Linked DNA regions of Coturnix japonica. The protein of the gene in region 1 purifies or fractionates together with the protein of each later gene. This does not show direct contact. Links are inferred from orthologs where the notes say so. Each region holds a gene or a part of one and is shown in the gene's direction. Other genes may lie near its edges. The genes, in order: GOLGA7, CLDND1 and ZDHHC5.

What was found.
Region 2: the proteins of GOLGA7 (region 1) and CLDND1 purify together in Homo sapiens (affinity purification with mass spectrometry; 3 studies listed by BioGRID and IntAct, counting the BioPlex papers as one, with this or other methods). This does not show direct contact. The link is inferred for Coturnix japonica from reciprocal best matches to the Homo sapiens genes GOLGA7 and CLDND1.
Region 3: the proteins of GOLGA7 (region 1) and ZDHHC5 purify together in Homo sapiens (co-immunoprecipitation; 3 studies listed by BioGRID and IntAct, with this or other methods). This does not show direct contact. The link is inferred for Coturnix japonica from reciprocal best matches to the Homo sapiens genes GOLGA7 and ZDHHC5.

What each region holds. Positions count from the first base shown.
Region 1 is NC_029537.1:3,952,063-3,958,554, forward strand, and holds the start of GOLGA7 (golgin subfamily A member 7), read left to right. Parts: upstream 1-2,876; 5' UTR 2,877-3,065; coding exon 3,066-3,176; intron 3,177-3,638; coding exon 3,639-3,791; intron 3,792-4,371; coding exon 4,372-4,473; intron 4,474-4,899; coding exon 4,900-4,947; 3' UTR 4,948-4,963; intron 4,964-5,498; exon of another isoform or gene 5,499-5,501; 3' UTR 5,502-6,492. UniProt on the Homo sapiens protein: May be involved in protein transport from Golgi to cell surface. The ZDHHC9-GOLGA7 complex is a palmitoyltransferase specific for HRAS and NRAS.
Region 2 is NC_029516.1:74,504,569-74,510,994, reverse strand, and holds the end of CLDND1 (claudin domain-containing protein 1), read left to right. Parts: intron 1-1,884; 5' UTR 1,885-1,889; coding exon 1,890-2,178; intron 2,179-2,829; coding exon 2,830-2,937; intron 2,938-3,303; coding exon 3,304-3,441; intron 3,442-3,549; coding exon 3,550-3,770; 3' UTR 3,771-3,847; coding exon of another isoform or gene 3,848-3,848; 3' UTR 3,849-4,741; downstream 4,742-6,426. UniProt on the Homo sapiens protein: Plays a role in negatively regulating the permeability of cells to small molecules.
Region 3 is NC_029520.1:7,786,846-7,793,464, forward strand, and holds the start of ZDHHC5 (palmitoyltransferase ZDHHC5), read left to right. Parts: upstream 1-2,175; 5' UTR 2,176-2,300; intron 2,301-6,619. Other genes in the region: polyribonucleotide 5'-hydroxyl-kinase Clp1, read left to right, coding at 1-545, 1,157-1,828. UniProt on the Homo sapiens protein: Palmitoyltransferase that catalyzes the addition of palmitate onto various protein substrates such as CTNND2, CD36, GSDMD, NLRP3, NOD1, NOD2, STAT3 and S1PR1 thus plays a role in various biological processes including cell adhesion, inflammation, fatty acid uptake, bacterial sensing or cardiac functions.

The sequences.
Region 1 (6,492 bases):
GATGCTCCCAGCAGCCCAGCACCAAGGGAAGGGGAACAGCAGCAACATTTGGTGTTTCTCCTAGGAAAGGTCTGCAGTCCATGGATCACAGATGGTTTGATTTACCAATAACAAACACAATCCTGTTCCTTGCTCTTGCCTTTTCTGTGTAACACTGAGTGTGGTACCCACCAGCACAGCTTCAAATTACCCTCCCCAGGCACAGGAACCTCCTCCTGCCCACGTGTGTTCAGTGTCCCATGGGAACAAGGCAGCCTGGGATGCCACATGCTGGTTTGCAGCTCCTCCTTCAGTGCCTCTCAGAAACACCAAGGTCTTGCTTAAGCCTGGAAGAACAACATTCTGCCCAAGATGAGACATTGCTTTGCTTTTCTTTAGTATTTCATGCACGCTCGCTATATAAGTTTAACACGCTTGTTCTGATTTAGAGATGGTGCATTGGAATAAGCTGTTAAAATTACGAACTTCTTACGCTTGGTGTCATAAAACACTGAAACAGTGAATGGATCTTTCAGAAAGAGGCACATTACACATTCAGTGTTGGGCACCTCAGTACAAAAAGGACATGGAGGTATTGGAGCAGGTCCAGAGAAGGGCAATGAGGCTTGTGAAGGGCTTGGAAAATTGGCCCTATGAGGAGAAGCTGAGGGAGCTGGGGCTGTGGAAAAGGAGGCTGAAGGGAAACCTGATTGCTCTCCTCCAGTAACTTAAAGTGCTTACAGTGAGAGCGGGGCTGGTCTCTTCTCACTGTTGACAGGACGAGGGGAAATGGCCTCAAGTTGCACCCAGGTAAGTTTAGGTTGGAAGTTAGGAAACACTTCTTTACAGAAAGGGAAGTTAAACACTGGAATAGGCTCCCCAGAGAGGTGGTTGAGTTGCCACCCCTGGATGTGTATAAGAGCCATTTGGATGTGGTGCTCAGAGATATGATTTAGCATAGGGTTGTTAGAGTTAAGGTACTATGGTTAGGCTGCGGTTGGACTTGATGATCTTTGAGGTCTTTCCCAACCTGAGTAATTCTATGATTACATGGTTACCATTTCCAGGTTCAGCCTCCATGTTAGGTCAGCAAACCCAGGAGGTTCCCTCTGGTTACAGCATTTGCCAGCTTTTTTCACTCCAAAAACTCAACAGTGGGTATCTGTACCTGAAGATCCAGACACCCTGAAAATAGATATTTTTTGTTTCTATAAACTCCAGTAAAATCGTAGCTGGATCAAAGTTTGCATTCATCCTTCTAGAATATTTCATATGCACATAAAACATCTGAAACAATTTTAACATCACAATCTTAACTGCTTTCACATTGCAAGCAGCTAAAGGTTAAGGAAACGCATTCCATCTGGTGCAGCATTTGAAGCAGATCATTCCTGAGAGGACTTTCAGGCAGGCAATGGGGAATGGGCTGCAGGAATGGGGGCTCAGCTCATGCCACATTTTGTCCCCACGCTGCTCCAACTGACTGGGCGCTTCCTGCACAAGGCACAGGGGTTGTTTGTTCAAGCAGACCCACTAGGTGTTTATTAGTCTTCATTATGGAGTGCTAGAGGGTTAATTAGTTCAGGCTGCTCCTATTGGAGGGGGGGGGGGGGACAGGAGGGGGGTGCACAGAGATCACAGCAGCTGATAGCCGGGTTCCTGGGACACTCAGCACTCAGATTACATTTAGATCTCTAATGTCAGATCTCTATTTGTATTTTTCTCTGTTTCCTTTTTATCTCCTCCCCGAGCAATTTAAAGGTGTCATTATCACATTTGCAAACTGCTTAGCACAAAGAAGAGCCCTCCTTTGGGCTAGAGGGGTGCCTCTTCCCTAGCTGCCACCCCTGGGCTGTGTGCTGGGGACACTGACAGCTCTGTTTACTGTCTTTTATCATCACAACATTGTTAGTTTTGTCTGGAGCGTGACACGGCGGCTGCTTATTATGCCCTGTTAAAACTAAACCCAATAAATCATTCTTGTATTTGTTTCCTCCGTGTTGATTTGTGGCGTGGTCGGCAGGGGACAACAAACGCTTCATCAATCTCAGCAAAGCATTGAACCCTACAGATCAGAGCCCACGCAGCACTCCAGCACTTGGGGCTTTGGAGGCATGGGGTGCTGGAGAATAACCCTGACCACCAGCACGATGCCTCAGCCATTAACTGCCCTTGCATTAAGGCCTGATTAACGTAGCTTTAGCTTCCCATTGACCTCAGTACATGCACATTTTGCCTGCTTTGTTCAGAACTCTGCTCCCTTTGGAATTAGTTACATTCTGTGGGATAGGGGTAACCTGCAGCCTCACAAACCTCATCCACCCATTGCTACCCAACAGCTGCAAGCCCTTGTACCAAACTCATAACAGCTACAACCCAAACTCATAACATAACACCTCCCTATGGAGGGATGAAGTTACACCAGCCAAGAGATATCCCAATGCAGAACTGCTTTGTTAGCAAAGCAAGGCTCTGCTCTTATAAGGCAGGATCCATCCAGATCCAGCAGTCACTGCTGTGCAGTGGGTGCTCGGTGTCCCAATGGACACCCAGCACCCAACCAGGGGTCACTGTATGTGTCTGAACCCAGGCTCTGGATCCCCATCCTACATCTGTACTTACAAACACCCCTCCCATTGATAACGCATTGAATCTCCCTTCCAATTCACACAGCGTTTTATACGCCCTATATATATGACTAGAGACCGCTCTCAGCGCGCATGCGCGGATAGGCGGGGCGCGGCGAGGGGGCGTATCCGGACTGTGCCATGTGATCTGCAAGCGGGGGGGAGCGGGGCTGTACCACTCTACGGACGTCAGGGGGTGTGCGTGAGGTCACGAGTGCTGTGCGTCAGCTGCGATTGGTGGGACGGGTAGCGAGTGCTCATGCGTGAGCTTGACGCTCTGTTTCGCTCCGGCGCGTGCGCATGCGCACTGTCTCTCTCTCTGGGCCTGATGGGGGCGACGGCGCATGCGCGGAATATCGCTTCCGCCTTTTCCTTGGCCCGGAGCTGACCGGACGCGTTTAGCGCGGTGTGAACGGAGCGGCGGAGCCCGGAGGAGCGGAGCGAGGCGGCCGCGGTGCCATGAGGCCGCAACAAGCGCCCGTGTCGGGCAAAGTGTTCATCCAGCGTGATTACAGCGGGGGGACCCGCTGTCAGTTCCAGAGCAAGTTCCCGGCCGAGCTGGAGAACCGGGTAAAGCGGATCCCGTGCTTTATATTTACCCCCCCGCCATTGTATTGCTTTACAGACCCCCCCCATGGACAGTGCTGCATGAAGCACTAAGGAATTACTGCTTGTCTCTCATGCTCTAGCAGCCCGTTGTGTGTTAAGGAAGCTGCTTTTGTTTGTTGGTGGAATTACAGTTCCTTTAAATGCTTTGTGTTCAGGTTGTGTTGCAATTCAGGCTTGATATAACAACAATGATACAATTACAATTCAGGCTTGATATAACAACATCACAACAAAGAGTTTCAGGCCTGTAACTCACAGCACCCTCCACACTTTGAGCACACCTAAGTGGAAGATGGCAGTAGGTGATATTACTATGGGGAGGGGGGAAAAAAGACAAAGTGGGAATAAAAACAAGCAAGGGCTGTTATTAGAAGGTACTGCTGAGTTCTGAGCTGTGCTGGTTAAACCTGATTTCTCTTTCAGATCGATAGGCAGCAGTTTGAAGAGACTGTCCGGACACTGAATAACCTTTATGCTGAAGCTGAGAAGCTTGGGGGCCAGTCATACCTTGAGGGGTGTCTGGCCTGTCTGACTGCCTATACTATCTTCTTGTGCATGGAAACACATTATGAAAAGGTAGGTTTCTTTTGTTTTCCTTCTTTCTTAGAAAGTGGTATATCCTACAGACTTCAGATGCTTTATTTCCTGGTGGGTTTTCTGTGACTTGTACCTCAGTTGTATGAATTCCATATAGACTCTGGATCTTACTACGGGGTGACTTAACATCTACAGACAAGTCCGTCTGATATATGAGTTACCTGAGCAGTGTAACATTTTCTGTACAGAACAGTTTCTGTCTCTGGTGGGTATCGGTGCTCTCATGCTGGGTTCTCCTAATATTGTTATATCGGTGGTATTGCTGAGCTATGGCTCTAAGACGGGAAAACTTAATTAAGAAATCTAGTTTCATAAATCACAGAATCACAGAATGACCTGGGTTGGAAAGGACCTCAAGGATCATGTAGTTCCAACCCCCCTGCCTAGCAGGGCCACCAAACATACGCCTTTACTAGATCAGGTTGCCCAGGGCCCTGTCCAACCTGGTCATGAACACCTCCAAGGATGGGGCATCCACAGCCTCCCTGGGCAGCCTGTTCCAGGGCCTAACCACTCTCCTAGTGAATAAACTGTGACTTCCCTGCTGTTCTATTATCAGGTTCTAAAGAAAATTGCCAAGTTCATTCAGGAACAGAACGAGAAGATCTATGCTCCTCAGGGCCTCCTTCTGACCGATCCCATTGAAAGAGGACTAAGAGTTGTATCCTTGTGTGGTTTCTAAGATTATTTCTTAATTCTTTAATAATATGGTATCCTCTAGTCATGCTTGATCTGTGATACTGCGAAATACATGATCAGTCTTGTTACTCTCAGGTATGTGCTGTTCTTTGAGCAGATAAGTTTATTTCTGCCCTGTTGTGGAGCTTTTGCTGAGATTTAGGAGGAGATGGCAAGGTTCACAAGCTCTTTGTATGCAGCATCTTGTGTTCTTGTTGTCAGAACAATCCTGAGCTGCCATAGGTCGATCTGATCTGACAAGGCAGGTGAGCTGTTGTGTTTGTTTTGTAGCTCTTGAGTAAGCAGCTATGAAGCAGAAAGATCAAAAGTTCTAATATCATAATGATTTTTTCACTTTCATTTTTGTAAACTTCTTATAGTATATTTTCCTAACAGCCTTTCTACACAGATTGAAATTACCATTTATGAAGACAGAGGCATGAGCAGTGGAAGATAAAACTGTGGAGTCTCAGGTACATATCAGCATTACAGTAGATGCCAATCTCAGCTTCCTTTATGGTGCTCAGAGTGGTAGACTCTTCTGCTGAAACAGAATGTTTATCCAGCTACTGCATGTCATCAATGACTTTTTACTTAAGTCTTGTGTGGTGTAGGTTTTCTGAATGTGTGGTTAATTTCATGCTACTCTCAGTTCAAACAATAACAGATTTGACTTAAACAGTCAAGATTGGAATTTGGTAAAATATACATAAACTGAACTTGCACTGTATCAAGCCCAGAATGGCTTTCTGTATTTGAAGAGTCTTGATTTTTCACAAAGCTTTTCTGGCATAAGTCTCTACCCTTTCTGAGAAGTAATACTTCCTAATTGATGGTGCTTTACTGTTCTTCCTATTATGCTGTGAAAGATGCAGCTTTTCTTGAATGTTTTTAGAGGTACCTAAAAGCTTTTGTGTTTAAAGCATCTATGAAAAGGTCATAACCCATGTTAAGAATCACCTTGTATTTTGCCTGGCAATCAGTTCTAACATGTAACTTCTTTTCTAGCAGACAGCTCAACAGTGGACTTGCTGTATCAGTTCCCCTACCTCCTACTTTAGAGCATCATTCCTCTTTCTGCTGCCAGATCCACAGTGCCATTTTCTACAGGGACTGACTTCCTAAAACTACTCCACGTGGTGTGACCCAGCTGGTCAGCATTCATTTTGTGGCGAATTATTGAGCCTTGAGATCACTTTTAAGTTCCTAAAGGAAACGCAGAAGTGGTGAAGCTGCATATTCTTCTGACAGAACCGCATTAACCCAACAGAAGTTGGCTCTAGTCATGTAAATGTGGTGCCGTTCCTCCCCACTTCTTAAATCTTTCTGATTGGGCTTTGGAAACCTACAAGTCAGAGTGGAATTTTCCAGAAGAAAGGCTTTCCCTCGAGGTCAGTATTGCAGTGAGGGGATACGCAGTGCCTCTTCCCAGTGCAAAATGACTCAAGGCAATGAGCGTTGGAAGCGTCCTGTACTGATTCTTATGGAAAAACTAGAAGGCAAAAAATGTTTCTCGTTTTAATGTTTTGGTTATTCCTAGAAGAGAGGGACTTTATTCCTGGTGTTTTTTCTACTGCTGTGTATGTGCTGTTGTATGTCAGTGCTGAGCAGAAGAGGGAGAGTCTATAAAACAGGAAGTACAATAAAATGGATGCTGAACCAATAAACATAACTCTTCCCCTTCTCTGATTAATACGTGAAGTGTAAAACTGTTTCTTTATGAATTTATTATAACTTATAGGAAAACACTGATTCGACAGAGCTGTTGTGTGGGATGGTCTCATCACTCTTTGCCTGCTGGCGCACTATTGAGCTGTGTGTTATTTCCTCTCTTTTTGCATTGACATTCCTCAGCAATACCTAAAGCACGTTCCTAGGAACCAGGTTTGGGTTCATTCTTTTCTCTTTGCTCTTCTCAAGGAAAAATATGTTCAGAATTGAGCCATGATCCAATTATAGAAGGAATTCAAGAGCTTAGGAATAATATAGGAGAGATGGAGTG
Region 2 (6,426 bases), on another chromosome or scaffold:
CTCAGCTGTTCTGAGGCCCCCTCTGGAGTACTATGTCCAGGTCTGGGGCCTCCAGTACAGGAAGGACATAGAGCTCCTGGAGCAGGTGCAGAGGAGGGCCACTGAAATGATCAGAGGGCTGGAGCTTGAGGTTCTTGAATGTGAATGGACAATGCATCTACAAAACAAAAGACTGAACAGTATGCTGAGTATTTGCTTCTAAATCTTGTTGCTGTGTCTTCTGGATAAATAATCCCAGATATTATTTTCTCCTCCTGATATATTTATGTGGCTTATAAAGGTTCAGAGCTTGTGCGTTGCTTTTTAGAGTTACAAGTGTTGTGGTGTTTCAAGTGGGTACTACTTTTTAGTTCAGAAAAACATCAGTTCTACTCTTGATCATTTCTAAGGAGTAGTTAAATAAGGCATACTGTCTGTAATTATATCTCTTCCAATGTAGAAATGAGGCATAGGGAATGATATAAGTATAAGTAATCTCACTCCCAACTCCATTGGCCAGTTTGAACCAAGTAGAGGAGCAGGTAGGAGGGAAAAGAAATGAGAAGGGCATAGTTAACAGTAGATATTGGTGCCTTTGAAACTCCCTGCTTATTTTGCACCTTGTTTCTTAGTTTAGAAATTAGTGTTGGCACATCTGACTTGAGCGCTGACTTTTCTTTTTCCTTGTGAATGTTCTATGTTTAGGCATTTGCTGTTCCCAATTCATTCAACTTCAAAGGAGCTAGACTAAAATAAAATCAAACATACATATTTTGATTAAGATTTGTGGGGGATGGAAGATAAAATGAGCAGTAAAGAAGAACTGATTAGATTGTATGGTAGTTCATAACACCAGAACAGCTCTAGATGCAGAAGTGACTTCAGTTGATATTTCATTTGGCGAGATCATCAAGCCCTATTTATTGTTATCCATAGATTTAATTGAGCACCGCAGACACATCAAACACTTCAAAGTCTTCTGACATATCACAGTATCTACAAAATATTGTGTATTAGCAATCGGTTATTCACTGTAATCACAGTATTGTCCAAACGTAAGTGCATGTCATATCAGTTTTTTTCCTGTGCTGCCTTCACCCATGAGTTTGTGCTTTTATGTGGGCCTGTGAAGGAGGACCTTAATTACCTCTTGGAGCCAGAGCAAGATCCTCCTGGTGGTACGTGAAGGTATTTCAGCTTTGGAAGATACTGTCATCTAATGCCCATGTAACAGGGCATTCCCTTGGAAACATTTTAGCTCTTCAGAAATGCCTCTGCATATGCTGTTGTGTTATCTCAGCATTTATTGGATTTCCGTACTTGTCCTTCCCTGCTTCCTTTGTGTTATATCTCTGGTGCCTAGTGATACTTGATAGTTTTCTTAAAGGCATTCTGGCATTTTGGCATGGCCGCCCCTTGTGAATAGTCTGGAAGAGGCTATTTGGTATCTGTGTGGTTCTTACCTTTGCTGTCAACACAAGCTGTGAAAGTCATATGGGGCGGCAGGCTAAAAATAGCTTCTTCCCTTGCTAATCTCTTTAAGGAAAGGTAAATCTTCTGAGAGCTCTAGTTGGTTTTTTCTGCTTTCTGTGGTTGCCTACAGTCAAGATCAGAAGTGCCAGTGAGCTGTGTCACCTGCTTTGGGGGCAGAATTGCTGTTTCTCTCTCAGGGTGATGTATAGAGGCTGGGAGAAGAGAGATACCTGTGCCTTGAATTCACAGATCCAGTGAGTATGGAGTAGTACTGTAGACATAGCATTTATGTGCTTCTGGCATCTTAGAAAAGATGCATATCCTAAAGAAACATTGCATAACGGGAATGATGTACTGAGGCTGACACTGCTAAGATAACTTCATATTTAGCATCAGAGGAGTTACTCACTTGGACCTTCTTTCTTATTTCAGCAGCAATGATGGATAACCGTTTTGCTACAGCGCTGGTAATTGCATGTGTTCTCAGCCTCATCTCCACCATATATATGGCAGCTTCCTTGGGTACTGATTTCTGGTATGAGTATCATACTCTGTCCCCTGCTGAGAACATTACTGAAGCCGGCAGGAGCATCTGGGAAGAATTTGTCAGTGAAGAGGCAGATGAGAAGACCTACACAGATGCACTATTCCGATGCAACGGCACCGTTGGGTTGTGGAGGAGGTGCATTACTGTACCCAAAAACTCTCACTGGTACAGCCCACCAGGTATCTCTGGACTAATTCACACTTCACTTTCTTCACTCGGGAAGCTTATTTCTAACTCGTATGTTTACTTTTTAATAATGGCAATGTAAACTTCTAAAGGAGTGATATGGGAAATATCTCTGTCAATGCTACAGAATCTGAATTTGGTATATTGTATGTTATCTGAATTTAGTCTGCTGTAACTTAGGTTGGTGGGAGTTCTTTTGCACCTGCTGCACAACAGGTGATACGGTTATTATGGCTCTGCTAGTTATCCTCTGTCTGTGGGATCAAAGGGGAGGGGAAATCAAACTAACTACTTTAGCAAGACAACACTTGCTCCTTTTAGATGGTTATTTGTTTTCCTCATGTGTCACAAATGCCCCACTGTGACACCAGCAGATTTTGGAGCTGTTAGAGATAGAATGACAAACTTGGACAAATGTTGGTTGCTTTAAAGAAGTGTGGTGGAAATTCTGCATGTATAATGTTATGCCTTGTGCTAACTACTTTATCGTTACTATCAAGATATCCTACAAAATTGTTTTGGGAAGTATTTTTTTTCTTAGTCTGAAGTTGTACTTGGACAGTTTAAATGCTTAAGAGAATTGAATGAAGAAGGGGAGTTGGAAAAAGCTAATGGCAGTTGTCTGGTTGTTGTCGTTGTTCCAGAAACTGATATGACTACAAACTGCATCAGTTTTTCCCTCTCCGATCAGTTTATGGAGAAGTACATAGAGCCTGGAAATCACAACAGTGGCACAGATTTGAATCGGACTTGTAAGTGTCTTTCACATCTTGCAGGTAAAAACAGTGGGATCTAAAAAACAAAAAAGAAAAATAATGGGGTTTCCCAAATGCAGTCACTGGTGAGACAGCATCTGCATCTTGCTCTGCAGTTTGTTGGTTTCTTTGTTTGTTTTACAAGTAGTAGGTCAAAGCTTTAAAGGAAAACTTAGATGCTCTAGCAACAACTTTGGCCATGAGTATTCTACAGGAGTTTGGAAGTCTAAAGTTCTTTCTACTTTGGTGGAGCTTTTTGACCTTTTTAGCTAAACCAGTGAAGGAGTGTGGGTGGAAAGGAACACAGCATGGTGGAGAAGGTCAGTTCAATAAACCTGGTGTCTGTGTTTCTTTAATGTGCAGATCTCTGGCGATTGCAGTTTCTCCTGCCATTTGTTAGCCTTGGTCTTATGTGCTTTGGAGCTCTGATTGGGCTCTGTGCGTGCGCCTGTCGCAGCCTGTACCCTGCCATTGCCACTGGAGTCCTCCATTTTCTTGCAGGTAGGTCCTCTGCCATCCACCACTTACTCTCCCTCCGCTATAAGCTCTTAGTGACAGCCAGAGCACTTCAGCAATGAACTAACTGCACTTTTCTTCTGCTTCCCCCAGGACTTTGTACACTGGGCCTGGTTGGCTGCTATGTAGCTGGGATTGAACTGCTTCATAAGAAGCTGCCCCTACCTGGTGACGTGAGGGGTGAATTTGGCTGGTCCTTCTGCCTGGCCTGCGTCTCAGCACCTTTGCAGTTTATGGCAGCTGCTCTTTTCATCTGGGCAGCTCGCACCAACAGAAAGGAATTCACTCTCTTGAAAGCATACCGTGTAGCATAGTAAGTGCTGCTACCCCAGTATTAGGTTTCCATGTAAGAGACTCCCCTCACCCTTTATTACTTTTATTGTTCTTTCAGACAGGAATTTGGGCTTGTACTGCTCGCTATTTGCCAGTTGAAACAGAAAAACCTGCAGGCCCTGAAGACAAAGACCTTTGGGCTAAATGACCAGACTTTGCCAGAAGTTTGCAGAACTTAGTTTCTAAAAACAATTTTTAATATATATATTTTTAAGATTTCTTTGGTTGATTTTTCTTTGAATATCCCCTTAGTTAAATGTGTATCTCTTCTTAATTTTATTATCCTGTCAGCCTGGAGGAAATAGGAAAGGCATTGTGATGTGGAAGTGAGATAGGAAAAGGTGCAGGTAGGCAAGAATGGGAACTAGAGAGCACAAATAATAAATCATGGGTTGGGCACTCTCCATAGGCCTTAGAGCAGACAAAAAGCAGTGGAAGTGCTGTAGTTAAATCAGTGCTGTAGCTTAGCTTTAGGTCTCTTATTCTTGCTAGTTTGTTACTTTCTATGGCTTCTGCCAAAACTGACGTAAGCAGAGCAGCTGGCTATGTGAGTGGTTGCGTAGCACATTCCCCTAGACAGAGAATCTGTGCTGCTTTTGCTGTGGAAGAGGAGAAGTTTGCCTATGTGGAAGTTTGTGCTACTCTAGGTACGCTGCTTCCAGGTACCTGCACTACGTGTGTTTGTGCACTGTAATCTTAACTTGTGCTTTTTGCTTGCTGTGAAATAAGGCTTTCCTCTCTCCTGTTGTATCAAAGGCAAACCTTTACGACCTTTTTAACTCTGAATTTGATTTAGTGTATGTGTGTATATGTACATAATATAAACTTTTGTAAAACTCTTATTTTACCTACGTAATACATAATAGGATTTTTTTTTTTTAAAGGTGCTTCTCAATTCCCACCTTGCCCCAAATCTGTTGTTTAAGTGGAATAAAACAGTCCTCAAACTTTTGATGTGTGAATTTGTTGGGATAGGGAGGGAATGTTCTAGAATGATGGGAGTGGGGGTTGGGGTGGGACTGTGCATCTCTGTAGTCGGAAATATCACCAGAAACAAAGACACTTTGTTAGGTTTGTTATTCTTGAAGCCTTTCTAACACATTTGACACCGGAGGGATGCATACCCATTTCAGTTCTAATGAGCTCCCAGTCTTTGCATGTGTTTCTTCTAAGTTACTGCATTTTTGTCCAGGCTGGGTGGCCAGTCTTGCCTAGAAAAGTGTTCCAAGACTAAATTGTTTAATTCTGAAGGCTTAACTCCTCTCAGTTCCTTGCTTTGTGCTCAGTATAGGAAACGTGTTTTAGAAGAAATGAATCCTAAAAAGGAATGACACTGTTATCAAGGGTTCTGTGACTTACTACTGATGGGGATGACATGGAAGTTGGCACGTTGTCTCTCTGCTGTTGTCTTTTGTTTGAATAGGTGTTTGCTGGTTCCTTGAAGATCAGGGACCTTGTTAGTATAGTTTCTAAAGTACTATTTCTGGTTTGTGGTAGAGAACAGCCCACTTCTCCTTCTAGCATTGCTGCTGTCTTTACAAAGTGAACAGAGATAAGCACATGCGTGATTCTGAAAACCAAGATCGAAGTTCAGAAAGTCTTGCTGTCCAATACTTCGTCATCTCGCCAATTAAAATGATTTTCTGCAAACTCCAAGTCTATCTGAGCCTGATGAGAGGAGCTCTGATACTTCCTTGCATAATCTGAGAAAATACAGATGTTGTAGCTGCAGTTTATGAACTCACACTAGTTTGATGGGAATTTATGGAACAATTAAGAAGCTCCTGCATGGCTCAGGTAGGTAAGACCTAATGATGTTCAAGGCTGTTTCCCCCTACTGACAGAACCTGCACTGCATTCCCTGATGCTGGTTCACACTGAAGATTGCTGTAACATCCCTGGAACGGCAGTCTGCTGCGGTTTCTCATTTAAAACAGATCCTGTACGCCATTCCTAGGTGTGGGATCACACTGCATATTTCCATTATTCTGGTGCTTTTTACTGTCGTTGCTGTTACTTTCCTTTCTCAGACAACTCTGCGTCCTGATGCTGGTTTACACTACAGATGTCCTGGGTCAATTAAGTCCCTTAAATATCTTTTTGTTGCTGTTTCTGTTGTTGTTTACAGCTTACTTTCTTTGACAGCTGAAGTGTCTGACAGGTGCAGATTCAGTGTGGGCGATGACTGCCAAATTGATGGATCAGATCTGCCAGTGTATCACAAGGGAGGTCTGTCAGATGAAGAGTCCAACTGTTACTGTTACACCATGGTTTGTTTTTTTGTTGTTTCCTTTATATCAGCTATTTGTTTTTGTTTTCTTTGTTTGTCAACTGACATGATTAGCAGATGCTGGATCCTGTGGGAGGATCCTGTGGGATTTTCATTCTATTATTGTGTTCTCAATTCCTCAGCTGAACTGTCTCACTAGCACTGGTTCACTCAAAGCTATGTCTCATAAGTCCCTTAGGTCTGTTACTTAATGTTTGTTCTTTTTGTCGGTCAATTGGCATATCAGGCTGGTACGGTATCAGTCAGAATTTCCATTACTTCAGCAACCTCTTCACTAATTTCATTCATTTAATTTCACAGCTGTAGTTTCTCTCTGCTACTTGTTCGCTCTGGAGTGGCACTGTAGT
Region 3 (6,619 bases), on another chromosome or scaffold:
CCGAGCTGCGCTTCGAAGTGGAGGCCTCGCAGACGGTGCAGATGGAGCTGCTGACCGGCATGGCCGAGGTGTTCGGCACCGAGCTGACCCGCAACAAGAAGTTCACGTTCGATGCCGGTGCCAAGGTGGCCGTGTTCACGTGGCACGGCTGCACCGTGCAGCTCAGCGGGCGCACCGAGGTGGCCTATGTCTCCAAGGACACCCCCATGCTGCTCTACCTCAACACACACACGGCCCTGGAGCAGATGAGGCGGCAGGCGGAGCGCGAGGACGAGCGGGGACCCCGCGTCATGGTGGTGGGCCCCACCGACGTGGGCAAGTCCACCGTGTGCCGCCTGCTGCTCAACTACGCCGTGCGCCTCGGCCGCCGGCCCACCTTCGTGGAGCTGGACGTGGGGCAGGGCTCCGTGTCCATCCCCGGCACCATGGGAGCCCTGTACATCGAGCGGCCGGCTGACGTGGAGGAGGGCTTCTCCCTGCAGGCCCCGCTGGTTTATCACTTTGGCTCCACCACACCCGGCACCAACATCAAGCTGTACAACAAGGTGAGTGTGTGGAGTCCCTGCTGTGTCACCTTGTGCTTGGCCCTGCTTGGAGCTCCAGGGTGTCTTGCCCGCCCCTGTGAGTCAGGGGTTGCCTATTGTATAAAACCGTGGTGCGATGCACCAACAAAAGCACGAAGGGTAAAAAGCTGGTCCAAATCCCCAGCGTCCTTCTCTGTCTGCAGTTTGGTGATGGTTAGGAGCCCCTATTTGGCTGAAGGTTGCCCTCAGCCACACGCTTGCCCTCGTCCTGTCTGTGCAACATTGGGATCAGCTCTGCTGATGTGGTCAAGCAGCCTTTAGTGCACGTAATGCACTTTATGGGCAGCTTCAGCACCAAATGCGGTTGCTGCCCCTCTGGGGCTATTAACTGGGAGGTGGGCAAGGAAGGATTTCAGCTCAAGTGACTGCCTGTGGCCCAGGCATTGCTTCTACCTCTTAGCACTAAATAAACCCACTGAGTGAGTTAGGAGCATTGCCTCTGATTGCTGTATCGCTAAGAATGGGACAGGTCCTCATCACATGGCCTCCAGCTGTGTGGATGCCTTGTGGGAATGGAAACATCCCTCTCAATCCCACATGCTTTATCCTCGTGTCCCAATATCTGCCTGCAGATCACATCCCGCCTGGCTGACGTCTTCAACCAGCGATGTGAAGTGAACCGTCGTGCGTCGGTCAGCGGCTGCGTCATCAACACATGCGGCTGGGTGAAAGGCTCTGGTTACCAGGCGCTGGTTCACGCTGCTTCGGCTTTTGAGGTAGATGTGGTGGTGGTGCTGGACCAGGAGCGGCTCTACAACGAGCTTAAGAGGGACCTGCCCCACTTTGTGCGCACTGTGCTGCTCCCCAAATCCGGTGGGGTGGTGGAGCGCTCCAAGGACTTCAGGCGGGAGTGCCGAGATGATCGCATCAGGGAGTATTTCTATGGCTTCCGGGGCTGCTTCTACCCCCACGCTTTCGATGTCAAGTTCTCTGATGTTAAGATCTACAAGGTGGGGGCTCCCACCATCCCCGACTCCTGCCTGCCGCTGGGCATGTCGCAGGAGGACAACCAGCTGAAGCTGGTGCCGGTGACTCCGGGTCGGGACATGGTGCATCACCTGCTGAGCGTCAGCATGGCCGACAGCCCCGACGACAACATCTCGGAGACCAGCGTGGCCGGCTTCATCGTGGTCACCGGGGTGGACCTGGAGCGCCAGGTGTTCACCGTGCTGTCTCCTGCCCCTCGCCCGCTGCCCAAGAACTTCCTGCTCATTATGGATATCCGCTTCATGGACCTCAAGTAGCTCCAGCAGGGATGGGGCAGGGGGGGACGTGCGGGATGGCCATGTGTGTCCTTGTACCACTTCTCATTGCCCAGCAGCTTCCATGCGCTGTGTTAGTGTGGGCACAGCTGGAGCAGGAGGCCATATGTTGTTTTTATATCCTTTTGTAACATTTGTTATTAAATTCATGTCTCTTTGGCTCTGTGCTGCTTGTTGCCTAGGCTGTAGGATGGAGGGATGGGCCCCTGGGTGCTGATCCCCTCTCCCCCCCGCCCCCCAGTGGCGCATGCGCGTGGCTGCTTCCCTTTTGGCGCATGCGCAGCGCGCTCCCCCGGCTCCTTCCAGTGTGTTCCCAGGCTCCGACCAATGAGGACGCGCTGCCGACGGGGCGGGACACGCATGCGCAGCCGTGACGTGGTGCCCATCCGCCGAGCGCTGCGCTCGCTCCGTGCCCGGTAGCGTTGGGCGCCGCCCGGGCCGCGCCGCAGTGTGGGTGAGTAACGCGGGATCCCCGCACGGCCCGTCCCGCTCTCGTCGCTCCCTTCTCCTCCCCTCATTGCCGGCCGTAGGGCCGCGGAGCCCCGGCCGCGCCGTGCCCCGGTGCCGCCTCCGAGCCCACGCCCGCCGCTTCACGGCTCGGCCGCTCCCGGCCCTGCCCGCCGCTTCCTCCCGGGCCCTGAGCGCTGACCCGGGAGTTGTTCGCGTCCTTCCGTGCGCGGGGCCGCGGAGCAGCGGCGTGTTGTGGGAGCGGCACTAAGGCCCGGCCGGTTCCGCCGCATTCGTAGGCAGGGACCTCGGTACAGCCACATCCAGCCCGGCTGGGGGCACCTGCCGCACTGCCTTCAGAGTAAAGAATTTCGCCTTATACTTAATCCAAATCTCCCCTCTTTTAGTTTAAAACCATCACTAGTCACACTCTGTCCTCACTGAAAGGCCCATTCCAGCTTTCCTGTAGCCTTTGTAGGTACTGGAAGGCCTCCTAGAGCCTGCTGTTCTCCAGGCTGACCAACCCATCTCCTTGCAGCCCTCAGCATCTGTGTGGAATCCCCTCTGACAGCTCCGTGTCCTTCTGGTGCTGGGAGCCCAGAGCTGCTTTGGAGGGTTGTGTGGTGCTGTGTTATGGAGGCTGGATGGTGGGGTAACAGAGTGCAGTTGTGCTCCTGAGTGCCATGAGGGTGGGCAGGGTTTGTGATTGAGGAGCAGACACTGGCACAGCAATGGCCTGTGTCAGGGTTTGGTTCTCGTGGCCCGTCAATGAGCAGAGGTTCAAGTCTCTGTGGCTGCAGGGCCCCGGCCCATGTGTTGCTGCCTTGTCCAGTGTGAAATTCCTCCTTGAAACACGCTTCCGCACGACGTTCTCCGGTGTTGGTGATGTAATGGGCTGTGCTGGCAGGTGTTCAGCCTGACTACTGCTAAGCAGCTCCAAATTATCAATGTGAAACGTGTTAATCCCAAGTTGTAGCTGAGCATACTGTTACATCTCCCTGAGATGACAGCAAAACCTCACAGTTCTTCCCTGCTCATCTCACTGGTTTAATGGGGAGACTCTGCCCTCCTGGTATCCATTACTGGTAGCTCCTTAGTATGTGATTGCTCCGCCATATGTCTGAACTGGATGCTTTGTAGGATCATCCTTCTTGCACTGATCTTTTCTGGGCTGTAAAACATGACTGCAGCCTTGTCTAGTTGGGAGTGAGGAGGTTGATCAACTTAGCGGGCTTAATCTAATCATCACCTCCAGTGAGGCGTTGTTCCTTAGCAGAGGACTTTGTTCTCATGGTTCCTGAGGTCAGGCAGGAGGTAACTGGGTGGAGCGGGGCCATCAGGAGACCTTCACCTCTCATTTTATACAAGGCTTTTTGTGGTGTTCCCCCCTTCTCCTGCTGCTGTTTCTTCTGCTGGTTGCTCCCTCTGAGCACCGGTGGTGGCAGGGCTGGGTTTGTGCATCGAGGAAGGTGCAGACACATTGGATGAGATTCTGTTCTTCCCTGCTTTGTCCGCAAAATGGGGCTAATCCCATGTAAACCGCTGAGATGGGCAGGGGAGGAATGGGAGCGATGTAAGCAAGGCCAGAGATAAGCACTGAGGGGTTGCTAGCCATGCTGGCTGCCTGCTCTGATGGTTTTGTGCTTTCCTTGGTAGCCTGCATCTCAGCAGCTGCTGCCTGGGTTGTTGTCTGTTGCAGGGATACCTCTTGCTCCTTGCTGTGCAGGGTTTATACAGTGAGCTCAGTGCAGAGGTGAGCTGGCTGGGACATGTTTCTCATCCTGTGAGTAGAAGGTGCCAAGGCGACTACGGATCCGGCCCTGGGATCACCTGCTTCATTCAGATCCTGTGTGCAGGCAGTGAAAACAAGGTGGGACCAGGTAGAGCACATCTTGTCTTTGTGTCGTCCCGGATCTGCCCTGATCGGGACTTGCATCACTCGGAAGGAATTGTTTGTCTCTTTGACCCGTGCTGGGGAAACTCAGCAGGACTGGTTTGGGGCAGGGAGGCAGCTGACGCACCACTGGAGCTCATAACTGAGAGTGAACTCTCTCCGCTCCGTGCCAGCTCCTTTCCCCGGGCGGTAACGAAAGGCAGGGTCGGGAAACCTTGTCACGTTGAGGCGCGCGCTTCCTTCTTCAAGGCTGGGAGTGCTTAGAGGAGCTGCGCTGCTTGTTGGCAGCGTTGGATGGCTCACGCATGGTGAGGAGTGTTTTCTTGTCCCATCTGATGCTTTGGAAAGATCAAGCCCTAAAGCAATACAGACTGTTGAGGCTGCGTGTGGATAGGTCGCTGGAAAGCAATGAGGTGGGGCAGTGGTGAGAAGGACAGGAGGAGCACGGAGCTTCAAGGAGCGAGTGCTGGAAATCAGACTCTTCAGGTTCTCAGCTGAAGAAAAGGCAGCGTGGACTAAAAGAGAAGCGTAAGGTGGCAGCGGTGGCGTTCGGAAGCATCCTGAGGGAAGGAATGGAGGATTTGGTGGAGTCCTCAGAAGCTGAGCGGAGATGGAGGTTGGACCCTCACATGGGTGGAGGGAAGCACATAAATAGGGAATGAGAATATGGGTGTGGGGAAATGGGGGCATTGGGACGAGCTCAGGGAGCAGCTGAGCTGCCTTGCCAGGCAGTAAGGCCAGCTGTGGGATGGGAGTATCAGTGAGGCAGGGGCTGAGTTGGGGACCCTCTGATGAACCTGGGCTCTCCCTTGGGTGTGGGATACCTGGGGTTGTGCTGGATAAGATGAACCAGGGGGAAAAACACAACAGAGGAAGAGGTGCCAGGGTTGGGAAAACAGGCAGAAATGCCAGAGGAGAGGGAAAATGGAGTAATCGGTGACACACAAGCCTAGTAAAGCTTGAATGGGAGGAGGAAGGAGTAGGGCAGGTCCTGAGAAGTATGGAAGGGAGGAGCTGCTGGGCTGGAAGAGGCGGAGAAGGGATCAGGATGGGAGCAGAGCACATACATTCCTCAGGTGAGTTGCGGTGGGGATAAAAGGTTTGGGAGGAAAAAAGGAGAGACTGAGGGTGGGCAGAGGTATAGCAGGAGAGATTGTCTGTTTGGGGTAATTGGTGTGTTACGTGGTCTGAATCGGTATAATCTGTGGGAAGGCAGGGTGGGTCCTGCATGTAGTTTGTGTTTCTCTAGGACATCAGTGTAAGTGATAAGAATGGTCGAGTTTCAGCATCATTTAGCCCCCAAGAAAAGAGAAGATACCTTAAGATTACGCTGCTGAGATCCCAGCCTGCAGTGCCACACCACACAGCGATTCAGGTGCAAACCAGGCTGCAGGAGGGCTGGACCTTGGACACACAGGTGCCCAAGCTGTAGTTTGCATATAAAGACAGGATTCTTCAGCAGAGAGCATTTGGGCACTGGAACAGCCTCCCCTTGGCAGTGGTCACAGACCCAAGCTGCCAGAACTCAAGGAGCATTTGGACAACGCTTTCCAACACAGGGCCTGAGTTTTGGAGCTAGGATTTGGACTCGGTGATGCTTTTGGGTCCCTTCCAACTCAGGATAGTCTGTGTTTCTGTCTTTACTCGTGCATTGATGTTGGGAGCTCTCTCCAGCGCTGCCTGATGCTCATTTCTTCACTAAGCTGAGCCCTCACATGGGCTTTTGCAACTGCCACAGTGTGCCGACTCACCCCGTGAGAGGAGTTGGAGCCCTTTAATATAGGCACCCGTCATTAGCTGGTGCCTTGGGAAGGGTTCAGGCAGAACTGAGCAGGACTTTGAACTGGGGAAGGCTTTAAGGGGAACTTCTGTGGACAACGTCTCATCTTGGACGAGGAGATTCGTCTGCGTAAGGAATGGGATGGAGGGGTGAGGAGTAGCATGGGGGCAAACTGAAATCTGCAAGTATCTGTTTGGATTTGAGGTGTGGCTGTTCTCATGGCGGAACCTTTCAAAGGGCCGGGGTGTCCTGTTACAGCTGAGGAGCACGTTAACAGATGGTTTCTGCTAAAGCAATTAGCAGTGATGTCATCTTTCAACTTGGGGGTAGCCTATCTCCAGCACTGCTGCCCGCCCACCCGCAGAGCCACAGCGGCCAGCTGCCTGGAGGTGAGAGCGGGGCTCCCAGCCAGCAGATCTGGGGCACTGTGCTCGTGTTGTGCCGTGCTGTCTTTCCTCTCTCTCCATCACAAAGCCAAAAAGTTGGTTTCGGAAGTTACTGTGAAAGAAGGGCCCTCTGCATTGGGAGTGGTGCCTTGGTTAGTCAGCCCTGACGCCCTGCTTTGGGACTGAGTTATCTAAACCTAATAAGTTCTTGTCATTAACTAATTGGGCACTTAATTTTGTGCCGCAGTTCTCTCAGCTTTTGTGAG